3 linked regions of the Tribolium castaneum genome follow. The protein of the gene in region 1 purifies or fractionates together with the protein of each later gene. This does not show direct contact. Links are inferred from orthologs where the notes say so. Each region holds a gene or a part of one and is shown on either strand. Other genes may lie near its edges.

The links.
Region 2: the proteins of epsilonCOP (region 1) and beta'COP purify together in Homo sapiens (affinity purification with mass spectrometry; 4 studies listed by BioGRID and IntAct, with this or other methods). This does not show direct contact. The link is inferred for Tribolium castaneum from reciprocal best matches to the Homo sapiens genes COPE and COPB2.
Region 3: the proteins of epsilonCOP (region 1) and deltaCOP purify together in Homo sapiens (affinity purification with mass spectrometry; 4 studies listed by BioGRID and IntAct, with this or other methods). This does not show direct contact. The link is inferred for Tribolium castaneum from reciprocal best matches to the Homo sapiens genes COPE and ARCN1.

The regions. Positions count from the first base shown.
Region 1 is NC_087397.1:2,371,897-2,374,969, forward strand, and holds epsilonCOP (coatomer subunit epsilon), read right to left. Parts: upstream 1,728-3,073; 5' UTR 1,669-1,727; coding exon 1,567-1,668; intron 1,521-1,566; coding exon 1,074-1,520; intron 1,014-1,073; coding exon 789-1,013; intron 732-788; coding exon 594-731; 3' UTR 505-593; downstream 1-504. Other genes in the region: uncharacterized protein LOC103315197, read left to right, coding at 2,047-3,072. UniProt on the Homo sapiens protein: The coatomer is a cytosolic protein complex that binds to dilysine motifs and reversibly associates with Golgi non-clathrin-coated vesicles, which further mediate biosynthetic protein transport from the ER, via the Golgi up to the trans Golgi network.
Region 2 is NC_087398.1:12,745,886-12,750,043, forward strand, and holds the start of beta'COP (coatomer subunit beta'), read left to right. Parts: upstream 1-1,355; 5' UTR 1,356-1,512; coding exon 1,513-1,515; intron 1,516-1,567; coding exon 1,568-1,919; intron 1,920-4,158. Other genes in the region: histone deacetylase complex subunit SAP130, read right to left, coding at 258-496, 547-775. UniProt on the Homo sapiens protein: The coatomer is a cytosolic protein complex that binds to dilysine motifs and reversibly associates with Golgi non-clathrin-coated vesicles, which further mediate biosynthetic protein transport from the ER, via the Golgi up to the trans Golgi network.
Region 3 is NC_087394.1:32,203,085-32,207,189, forward strand, and holds the start of deltaCOP (coatomer subunit delta), read left to right. Parts: upstream 1-1,302; 5' UTR 1,303-1,455; coding exon 1,456-1,458; intron 1,459-1,567; coding exon 1,568-1,607; intron 1,608-1,665; coding exon 1,666-1,889; intron 1,890-1,947; coding exon 1,948-2,127; intron 2,128-3,512; coding exon 3,513-3,724; intron 3,725-3,771; coding exon 3,772-3,933; intron 3,934-3,982; coding exon 3,983-4,105. UniProt on the Homo sapiens protein: Component of the coatomer, a cytosolic protein complex that binds to dilysine motifs and reversibly associates with Golgi non-clathrin-coated vesicles, which further mediate biosynthetic protein transport from the ER, via the Golgi up to the trans Golgi network.

The DNA.
Region 1 (3,073 bases):
CGACCAAATTTGGTGACTGTTGTGTTCTAGTTTAATAAAAATAAGGAAAAAAGATTATTTTCGGTTTAAAATTCTCAAAACTTGCAAAAATAATGTCCTTTTTGACATAATTATGTGGTTTATTGGCTTACTTTTTAAGAAATTTGTTGAAAAAATCACCAATTTGAGTTTTATGGTGTACCAAACATTTAACAATAAATTCAACATTGGAATATTTAAGACGGTTATTGCTTGCAGAAAATGGAAATTAATTGTCTTATAGTTTAAAATGATGCCAAAAACAAAAAAGTAAGTACACATTTTTTCTATTTTGTACTTTGTAGCCGTATTTGGAACTTTCTTTTGCAATAACTGTTGTCACCGAATATTTTAATACTCCTGACTTATTTCAATTTTTTTAGTCATTTTTTTTTAATATCAACGGTTTCGGATTGTTTTGGGAAAAAACGAATTACGTTTATGGAATGTGGATGTATCATTGGGTTTAAATCAATAAAAACTATAATTGATTATGGGCTTTATTTTTCATGTAATACAATTAACTTAAACGTTATATAATTTTTTTACAGCAAATAATAACTTTTTCACACATTTTACGTCGGAATGGTTGAAACTGAAGGACCATACTGTTTACAAATCCTTGAAAATTCACTTTCTTTCTGTTTTAAGTCTCTAATGTATGGATGATCTGGTTGAGCGTCTTTCAACTGAGACAAATACCTACTTGCAATCTAAAACAAAGAAAATAATTAACAAAAAATGTTACAAACAATTTGACAATCAATTACTTCAGGCGTTTTCCCTGTATGTTTATGTAAAACGATAAGATTGATCAAAGTGTCTGGATAATTAGCATCTTTGTCTAAAGCCTCCTGTAGAGCAGCTTCCGCCTCCTCATACTTCCCCTGACCTAGAAGAGCCACAGCTTGGCCATTAAGCAGCAAAGGTGTAGCCCCATATTTTTCAACCAATTCCTGATAGATATAATAGGCGTCTTGCAGCTTTTCCCCACCCTGTAAAAAATATTTAACAACACAAATTAGTGGTTAATTATTAATAATTTTGCGACCTACACTCGCGTTATTGACCCACGCCTGTGCCAACTGCGTTAACGTGGCATCGTCGTCCTTCTCCTGCATTTCCTTCAACTTCTTCCTGGCCAAATCAACGCGATCAATCTTCAGCAAAATATCAATAATAAAAGCCAAAGCCTCCAAGCTTTCAGACGCGTGCAAAACGCGGTATGCCGTCTCTAGATTGTTCTGATTAACGTATATTGTCGCGGCCACAAGTGCAAGAGTGTCACTTTCGACGTTGGAGGCCAGCTTCTGGTCTATTTGGGCGACAATAGACTCGCGTTTTTGTTTGGAGGATAAATATTCAGCCAGGAGTCTTAAGGGCTGGATTTCCTCGGGTGAGGACGGCTTGATTTCGTCCAGCACTACCAGGAATTTGTTCTGGGCCATGTATGAGCGGTAGGTGAAAATGTCGCGTTGGATGGCCACCTCGGGGGTCGAGGGCTGGAAAAAATATTGAGCAAGCTAATTATGGAAAAGTGGTAAAAACCTTGCGCAGTTTTTGTGCCTCATTTATGCACTGCTGATAATTTCCAATGTAGTAGAAGTTTTTTATTTCAAATAATTCGTCGTCGTGTTGCTGACGCGACATCTTGAACGTCAAACTGACAGAAACTTAACCTTAAATGGGAACGAACTGGGCTTTTATGCTGTGTATATTGGCGGCCTTGCTGCTTAATAATTCGGAAATTCGTCAAACAAACGTACACAAAAATAAATTTTTTACTAAACTTAAGCTTCCTCCCAACTTGTGTGTCAATTAAAATAAAAAAACAGTTAAAAAACGTCTGTTTTTAATAAAAAAATCGTCCGTCTGGTGATTTATTTTTCTGACGTTGGTCGTGGTCAATTAAAGTTACTGGTCTTTAGTTTAAAAAAGTCGTGTTTTTGAAGCTTATTTGTTCTTTGTAAGATACAATTTGTTAAGTATAATCTTCACTTTTGAATAATTTTATTGTTTTAGCACAGAATGGCGTCATTCTCTGTGATAAATTTGCAAGGTTACGAAGCCATAATCCACGAGAAACTTTTCGCAAACATTAAGCAATTAACTTATGTTTATCCACCAACCCAAGACTTCCATGAGGTTTTCAGGGAAGATATGTTTAAAAAAAATAACAAGGCAGCCTTCCAACAAGTCACCAACTACCTTTTCAATGTCCTAAGTCCTGAGTTGACCAGAGAAAAGCTCAAATCCTGGCCCCCATACGACACCAAAGGAGAGCGAGAGTTTAGACAAGAGGTGGTGGCATTTGTTGATTACTTGAATGAAAATTACAAAGCGGCGAACATTCCTAAGCTAATGCCATCTCTTTTTGTTTCACCTGGTGGCATAAAGGTGGCCAAATTCATGTTTAAATTGTCGACGTTCGTCTTGCATGAGCATTTAAAAAAGAACATGAAAGAGGGCAAATTATTGTCTCCCATCAGACCTTGTAAAAATCCAGCCGTTAATGCAATAATTATAGAAAACTTGAATAGAACAACGTCAGTTATAAAAAAAAGAACGTCAGAAACTGCCACCAACTTCCACAAATTCTCGGCAGAGGCATTTGCAGAAGCCCAGCGAATTGTGGAGCAAGTGGAGAGGATTAAAAGACAGGAAATGGCCGAAGTCACCAAGGCGTTAGACGAAGAGAAAAAGAAAAATCTCGAATCAATTGATTTGGAAAAGTTGCAAGGAAAAATGGCACAAATGGAAAATATTAAAAGCATGTGTGAGAGAGCAAACGAGCTCCTGGATGTCATAATGAATGATAATCAACTGGAACTTGATAAAGAAAATACTCCCGACTTGGATTTGCTGCAGTTGTTCAATGATTTAAATGAGTTCCTTGAAAAGGAACGTTTCCAAATACCAACTTTGTTACAGGAAGATATGAAAGATATGGTTCAACGCTTGTCAGAGCTCACAGAAAACTACAAACAACTTATCATTAATATGGAGCACGACAAGAAGGAACTCGAAAAATTGGCAGAAAATTCTGTTATCTAAT
Region 2 (4,158 bases), on another chromosome or scaffold:
TGCACCATACGATAAAAGTGGTTACTACATCATTAACTGCTTTAAAAATGTGATCATTTTTCAATAACATTTTTTTCAAAATTCCTTTAGGTTTTTGAGTTTTTCAAAACAATAAATAAAAAGCTTCATTTTTTGCCAAAAAAATCGCCGTAGTAGGGAAGCATTTGATATAATAGCTCTAAAACTAAAAAAAACTTCGAAAAAATGTAAAAAGACGTCAAAAAGTTTTCACAATAAAAAATATAGTAATTATTCACCTGGCCGCCTGTTTGCGCCGTGACCACCATGGGGGCGCGCACCGACGCCACGTTGCTGCGAGGGGCCGCCAAATTCGCCACGACTGCGGGCCCCCGTGGGACATGGTAATTAGTACCACATGGTACCACCGGAGTTGTCGAAAGGGTGATTTGGGTGGGTCTTTGAATAGTGATGTTAGCAGCACTCGATTGCGGCTGACTCGTCGTCAAAATACTCGCAATTTGAGTCCTTGCAGCATCTAAAAAACAAACACAGTCACACAAATCACATGGCTTCGGACACACCAACCTGGCTTAAACACGGTGGGGACAATATTAGTTGTGATTATTGTTTGGGCGTTGGAAGAAGCCTGGCCCGAGTTTGGTGGCGTTCCCTGAGTCAGGACACGCACTCCACGCAAGCCTTGATTCGTCATCAACAAGGGGGCTTTCCCTTCCACTGTCCGAACGGTGGTTATTTGGGTCCTGGCCAAATCCAGAGGCAAGGACTTGTGGGACTCCTTGCCCTCGTCACTCATATTTCGCAGGTTTTAAATTTACCCATAAAAAACTTTATTTGTTACGTTAAACGCATCTGCATTAAAACTGAACAGAGGGTAATTAGGAGGTTTTGCAAAGTGTAAAAATGAAACCTTGGCAGCTTTTTGGCAATTTTTCGGAACAAAATAACATGGTTTTTTGGTTAAACTTAAGACTAAGGTTTGCACTTAAAAAATCTACAATAATAGACTACAACAACACCACAAAACGCAAATTCCGAACTGACGCCATTGCTCGCGCTGTCAAAGGAACGTCGCCCCATTGCCTCAAATACGCATTTGGGACAACAATCACCACATCAAATCTAAAATAACGTTAATTAACGTAAATTAAAATGCAGAATTTTGGCACAGCTAGACGTCGTTAGTACCAATAAAAATGCCCGTGTTTAAGTAGTTTTGTATTGTAATAAATTAAATTATAACTAATGAGATAGGGCACAATTTTGTCAAAAATAATTATTTAATTATTTTATAATTATTTCTATAGGTTAATAAACCATTGTTAAATAAAACAAATTGCTTTTTTTGTTGTAGTAATTTAAACTAATTTGTTAGACGGGTTTTCGCAGTTTTTGGACAAATCCACCTCGCCAAACGTCAACGTCAAGCCAAGTTGTCGGGCCACGTATTTTGGTTGTTTTTTAAATGGCAAGTCGTGTTTTCTATCAAACCCCTCAATAGAAAAGTAAATTGTTGATATCTACACCTTTACCATGGTAAGAGGGTTGCGTTTGGTGTCCCCGCTTTTGGTTAACCTAAATTTTATAGCCCCTCCGTCTGGACATCAAACGCAAACTTACGGCGCGTTCCGACCGTGTAAAATGCGTCGACTTGCACCCGACCGAGCCCTGGATGCTCTGCTCGCTATACAGCGGCAATATAAACGTCTGGAATCACGAAAATCAACAACTAGTCAAAACCTTTGAAGTTTGTGATTTACCAGTACGTGCCGCAAAATTCGTACCCCGCAAGAACTGGGTGATTGCCGGCTCGGACGACATGCAAATTCGTGTTTTTAACTATAATACACTGGATCGTGTACATGCTTTTGAGGCCCATTCGGATTATGTGCGGTGTATTGTGATCCACCCCACACAGCCTTACATCCTCACAGGGAGCGGTGAGTTTTTAGTAACACCAAAGCCAGTGGATATGCTCAAGCAGCGTTAGAGACCTTGACAGGTCACAAGTAAAGATTGGACACTCCAGAGAGGACTTATACCACATTACTTACGTGAAAGGCTCACCCTTAAAAAGGCTTATTAAGTGCATTTTTGTCCAAATTTTACGCTTAATTGTAAAGAAATAAAATTGTTAAAGGGTATGCTCAAAAGAGGTGTTTATTAAAGCTCACGTCATGTGTTAGATTTGTATAGAAAATGTATATAAACAGGCACTTTACTTTTGTAAGGCCCGACATTTTCTGAAATCACGCTGCAATTTTGAACATTCGTCAAAAGTCTCAAGACTGTCTCACCTTTGAGAAATTGGTAAAGAACAGAGTAATTTTGGTGTTAATCTGTAGTTTCACTCTGGTTATTGCTTTTTATATGAACAGATTCCATGGAATCTTCAAACTTATGCTTCAATCACGTAAATAATAAATCAACACCAAAAACATTAAAGAAAATCGTCCACATTATGAAGCATTTTGTGTGAGAATACTGGAAACTCATTCAAACAAGAATTGTTTCGGAAACATAAAGTGTTAGGTATTGACTTGAATGAGAAATTTCTGAGATACCAAATTTTTATTATGTATTTTAGCTGGATTTAAATAATAGTTCTTTGAAAATTCATTCTAAATTATTAGATTCCGCCCTAATGGGAAATAATTTAAGACTGCTCTGCTTACATTGATCTACGTTTCACAATATTTGAAGCATCTAAGTATGGAAATTATTAAACATACTCATGATATTGTTGAGACCATAAGTTTTTATAGCCACTTGCATCAACAATATTATTAAAAATTTAAATTATAAAGAACAATTTGGGTTGTATGATTTGTTAGGTAATATCGAAGTATAAACTGCACCCCAAATTTTGTACACCAGATTTACTCAAGATTTTCTCTGATTTAATAATGATTTTCCCTGGTTTCTTCAATTTTGTACATTGATTTTCTCTGCGGATTACCTCTAGTTCTCTTTGAAAATTATTTCTCATCAACACTAAGTGTTAAAGAGAAAATAAAATACTTTTGGCCATGTAGTGGACACTTGGGAGTAAAGAATGAATTGTTGATGGGAAATTTTTTTCTTAGAGTTCTAGATTAGATTTTATTAGATTTTTTTTTCAGTTTTCAAAATTATTTTCTGAATTAATAAAGCAGTTGCCGTATTTTAAAAGACTCTCTAAAAGATCTTAGACTATCATCATACAATCCTCTCAATCGCCACAAACCTGACAGATATTTGAACATTTTTCACCCATTTTCCAGAAAATCAACCAACAATTACGACTAATTCCTCTTCTAAATTTTGGCGTGAACTTCGCGAAAACATCTGAGAATTTTTGTCATGTTTTGATAAACTTAGTCATTGTCACTTCCCAGTAAACATTTTTTAGGTCATAAACATTACTGAAATCAATGTTTTGTTAAATGAAACATTTGACCTTTGAGCATAGTTTGTTAATGAAACGTCTGGGAAACAACAAATATTTTCTTCTTGATATGATTCACTAGAAACATTTCATTGAAATTTCTATGGTATATTTCACTCACTTTCAGGATGGTATAAGAAACATTTAAACAATATCATGTTGTAGAACTAAAATATATTATTTATATAAAAAACAGAAACAAATATAATTTCAACAAAACAAAATATATAAAAAATTCATTGTGACAAATATTTTTTCTTTATGAATTGTTGTCGTGCCTGCACATAATGATTTCGAATGAGGTGGTTGTATTTTGATAATTCCGCATGTTTTACATGTTATAGGCGATTATTGTGATATTGTTATATCACTTCGGTCTCATTATTATTGTTACGTGATTCCAAGTTTTTAAAAATAGCGATTATTGTAGTTATTGTAGACTAAAAAAAAGATTTATGTAAATCATCTAACAATACATGTTTCGTGTTTATTGGGTGAACAGTCAAAAACCATTTGATCTAAATATTGGACCAAATGCTTGATAAGCGGTTATGACGTCATAATTTCAGCCTTAAATCGAAATAACTTGAGTTAGAGAGCAGATACAGAGGAACGGTTTTCACTGTTGTAATAAGTGCTTTCAGTACTATTATTTATAATAAAGTTGTTTTTTAACTTGCCAATGTCTTTTTTGCTGAAAACAATGAATATTCAGTTTGATATACAAAGAACATAATTATTTTTCTTTTAAC
Region 3 (4,105 bases), on another chromosome or scaffold:
GTCTATGTACAAATTTTTGAATACACTGTAACCACCTAAACGATAATTTTCAAACTAATCGGGGTATTGGAAAATATCGAACTGAAACACACTTGCGTCAGAAAAATGCCAGCAAATAATTGCTCAACAAGATGTGCAAACTGAAGGAAAATTCAAGAGCCAATCGAAAGAAGAGTAATAAAGTAAAGTAATTATTTAGTTTGAGATATTTACCAAACGCACTATTAATAATGGTTTACAGGTAGATAATAAATAACAGTTAATCGTGCTGGCTGATTATATTTGTTGATTATATCAGCTTAAAGTAATTAAAAGCTTCTTGCTAATACTCGTACCTAAAGTGTAAAAAATTAAGTAAACGAATGAATAACAATATCCGACAAATTATTGTGTTAATAAAAAATTATTGTTGTTTATTTTTCTCACATTTACAATTTTTTTGATTACCATTGATTACCTTTAAAAAATGAGAAAATAATATAATATATCGCACAAAAGTCAGACTAACACACGTTAATATTATTCTAATCTTAAATTTTTGAAATTTGACACTTTACTGTGGCATTTTTGTATTGTTTTCTATCTTTAATTAACATTTGCAGTAGCATACAGGAAAATACTATGTTTTTTTCATAGCCTTATCTTATGACTTTATGATAGACAAAGAATGGTTAAAATTTTTTACTTATTAATCAGAATGTAATAAAAAATAACTCTGGCCTATATTTTCGTGATCTGGTAGCCAAGATAAAAATTTTGGAATGTTTGATATTAAAAAAAATTTAAATTTTCAAAATACTTGCAATTTAATCACGATATTTTATTTAATCATTTTTATTGCACTAGCTATACTTAATACTCAAATAACCCAAACCACCCACCTTAGAAATAAAAATAACTTGTAATTCTAGGCCGCAATTTTTTTTTGATATTCAATCAATTTGTTCAGATACATATCTTTACAATATCATAATTTACTATAATCTATTAAGACAATTTAGTTTGCTGAAATATTCTTAGGCCATAGTGGATAATAAAAAACCGAAAATATTTTTTTTTAGTTAGATACAATTTATTATCTGGTTTATTTCTAAAATAATTACGTTTTTTTTTGCTTTTTTTCACATTCCTGTATTGCTATATTTTAGTAGGAACAAATTACTAAATAGCTGAAGCAACAAAAAATATAAAAATAGAGCAGTTATTGACTTATTTAGTTTGATTTTAAGTAACTTATGAGTAGAAACTGGAGCATTTTCGAATTTTGCGCCTAGAGCTGGTGCAGTGAATCGGCGTAAGGTTGGCTGACTGAATACGGTCACGTCACTGTTTTTCTCATTCAACAGCAAGCACAAGTCAACGTCATCTTAAAAAATTAATAGGGTGTAATGTTTTGTAAAATATTATTTTAGTTTTTAGGAACATAACAGCAACAGACCTTTCACAGTCTCTAAAATGGTGAGATAATCTTTCACACACCACACAAATCCAACCTTTCACAATTCCAATTTAAAATTTCCAAGTTGCCATTTTACGCATTTTCTCACGTTATAACATATGATTTCAGGTGCTCATAGCAGCGGCGGTCTGCACTAAGGCCGGTAAAAGTAAGTACCCCACATAAACCACCGAACCATGTGTTGCAACCTTTCTCTGCCTTTCCAGCCATAGTCTCTCGGCAGTTTGTTGAGATGACCAAAGCCCGCATTGAGGGTCTCCTGGCGGCTTTCCCCAAACTTATCCCAACAGGAACACAACACACCTTTGTAGAGACCGACTCGGTCCGATATGTATATCAGCCACTTGAGCGCCTTTACATGCTCCTGATTACCACAAGAGCTAGCAACATTTTGGAAGATTTAGAAACTCTGAGGTTGTTTGCGAAAGTGGTAAGCTGTCCAGACCCATGGAAGCCACAAAAACATCCTCACATTGTCATTATTTTAGATTCCCGAATATTGCCGCTCATTGGAAGAAAATGAAATTGCGGAAAACGCATTTTCCCTCATTTTTGCGTTTGATGAGATTGTTGCTCTTGGGTACAGGGAAAGCGTCAATTTGAGCCAAATTCGCACATTTGTCGAGATGGATTCACACGAAGAGCGGGTCTATCAGGCCGTCAGACAGGTAATAAAATTGCTAAACTGGTAAAATCATTTATTATCAAAGTTTGTACAACAACGGACACGGCTATTATTTCAAATTTGCTATTTCATGATTAGATTGCCTCACAGAAAATAAATTAACAACAGTTCTAGAAATTGTAATGCCAAAAAGTCGTAATTCCAGTTGGCAATACTGAATTCTAATTTTAAACAATGTAACTGAAGTATATTTCTGGTTAAGGTTTTGGATTCTGTCATCAGTGACAAAAAAAGGGAATTTTTTGGTTAAAAATTATTAAAGCCAAGAAGTTGTAATTTCAGATGGCAATACTGACTTTTAATTTTTAACCATGTAACTCAGTATATTTCCCGGTAAGATTTTGGATTCTGTCTTAAATGAAAGCGGTTTGAAAGAAATAAACAAAATGACAAGTTTTCAAAGATTTTGTGTTAGTCACAGCTCTTAAAGTAATTTTGGTAATAAAGCAAATAACTCAGTATTGCCAATAAATTTTTTAAGATGTTAAGTAAAATTCCTCCCAATTTTAAATTTTTATTTGAGGTATAAAATCAGATATAATAAATTTTTCGACACATTATTTCATAGTGACCCAGTAGAAGGTGAAATAAAAATTAATTTGCTGTTAAAAGTTAATTTAACAGTTAATTTGGTAAGTGATCACTGATCAGCTGTTCTAACGTTTAAGTGAACGAATTCATCGCTAATACCTGTCTCACTATTTTTTTTTGTTACCCTGATGGATTTTATGTTGAAAATTAATAATGGTATAATGAACATAAAAAGAATTGCTGTAAAATCTAGAGTTCTTATAATACCATAATAATATTCCGTTTCACATCAACATAAAGAGACTATGCTATTGTTTGTATAACTTGTTGATATACCTACCAGGTGAATAAAGAGAATGAAATCTAACGTGTTTTTTTTTGCTTAAACTATTTACTTTTTGGAAAAACTACTAGCAGTGTGATTAAAGAAAATGTTTATTTTTTTGTATGTGTAGTTTTTGAATTTTTTACGACCCACTTATTTATCCACTGGTTTAAAAACTATGAAAACTTAAAGACAAGCGTTATTAAATTTTTAAATTGCTTTTATTTACAATAAATTCAAGATTTAAAGTTTCACGAAAGGAAAAACATCTTATTCAGACAGAATGTTTAGCTTGGGCATAGAAAGCCATTTCCGATATTTCTGCACTTTTAAACCTCCTCACGGAGGTCTTAGGGCGAATAAAATAGAAACAGAAGACATGAGACATCTAACATTTGATAGAAAGCATAATATTTCTTTTAGAGCCCTTTCCTATAATTGAATTAAGGCATGCTGTTTGTATAGATTCGAAACCAATGTAATTTCTGATTTACGAACTGACTCCTCTTTAGACACAAGAACGCGAAGCTAAAAACAAAATGCGTGAGAAAGCTAAAGAATTGCAACGCCAGCGAATGGAAGCCAACAAAAAGGGCGTCAAACCATCATTTGGTAGCAGTGGAGGCTTTGGTAGCTCATCTGGTTATACTCCAGCCCCTTCAGTCGGCGATGTTGCCAATATTTCAAACGATATCAAACCACCAGCTTATTCCTCCGCTCCTCAGTATGTTAAAAACATCCAAAAAATTTTTTTTTAAATTGATTTAATAGGAAACCTTCGACTCGAGGAATGAAACTGGGTGGCAAAGGCCACGACGTTGAGTCTTTCGTAGACCAGCTTAAATCCGAAGGCGAAAATGTCATTGCACCAGTTAATAACAGTATTTCACAAGGGGGAATGAAAACACCAGCGATCAAGTCCGATATTAATGAGTAAGAAAATAAACAGAATAGAGTAGAAAGTGACTTGAATTATTTCCAGTGTTCACTTGAGACTGGAGGAAAAACTAATCGTTCGAATGGGCCGTGACGGCGGTGTGCAACAATTCGAGTTGTTGGGGTTGGTGACACTGCACATTGGGGACGAAAAGTGGGGGCGAATTCG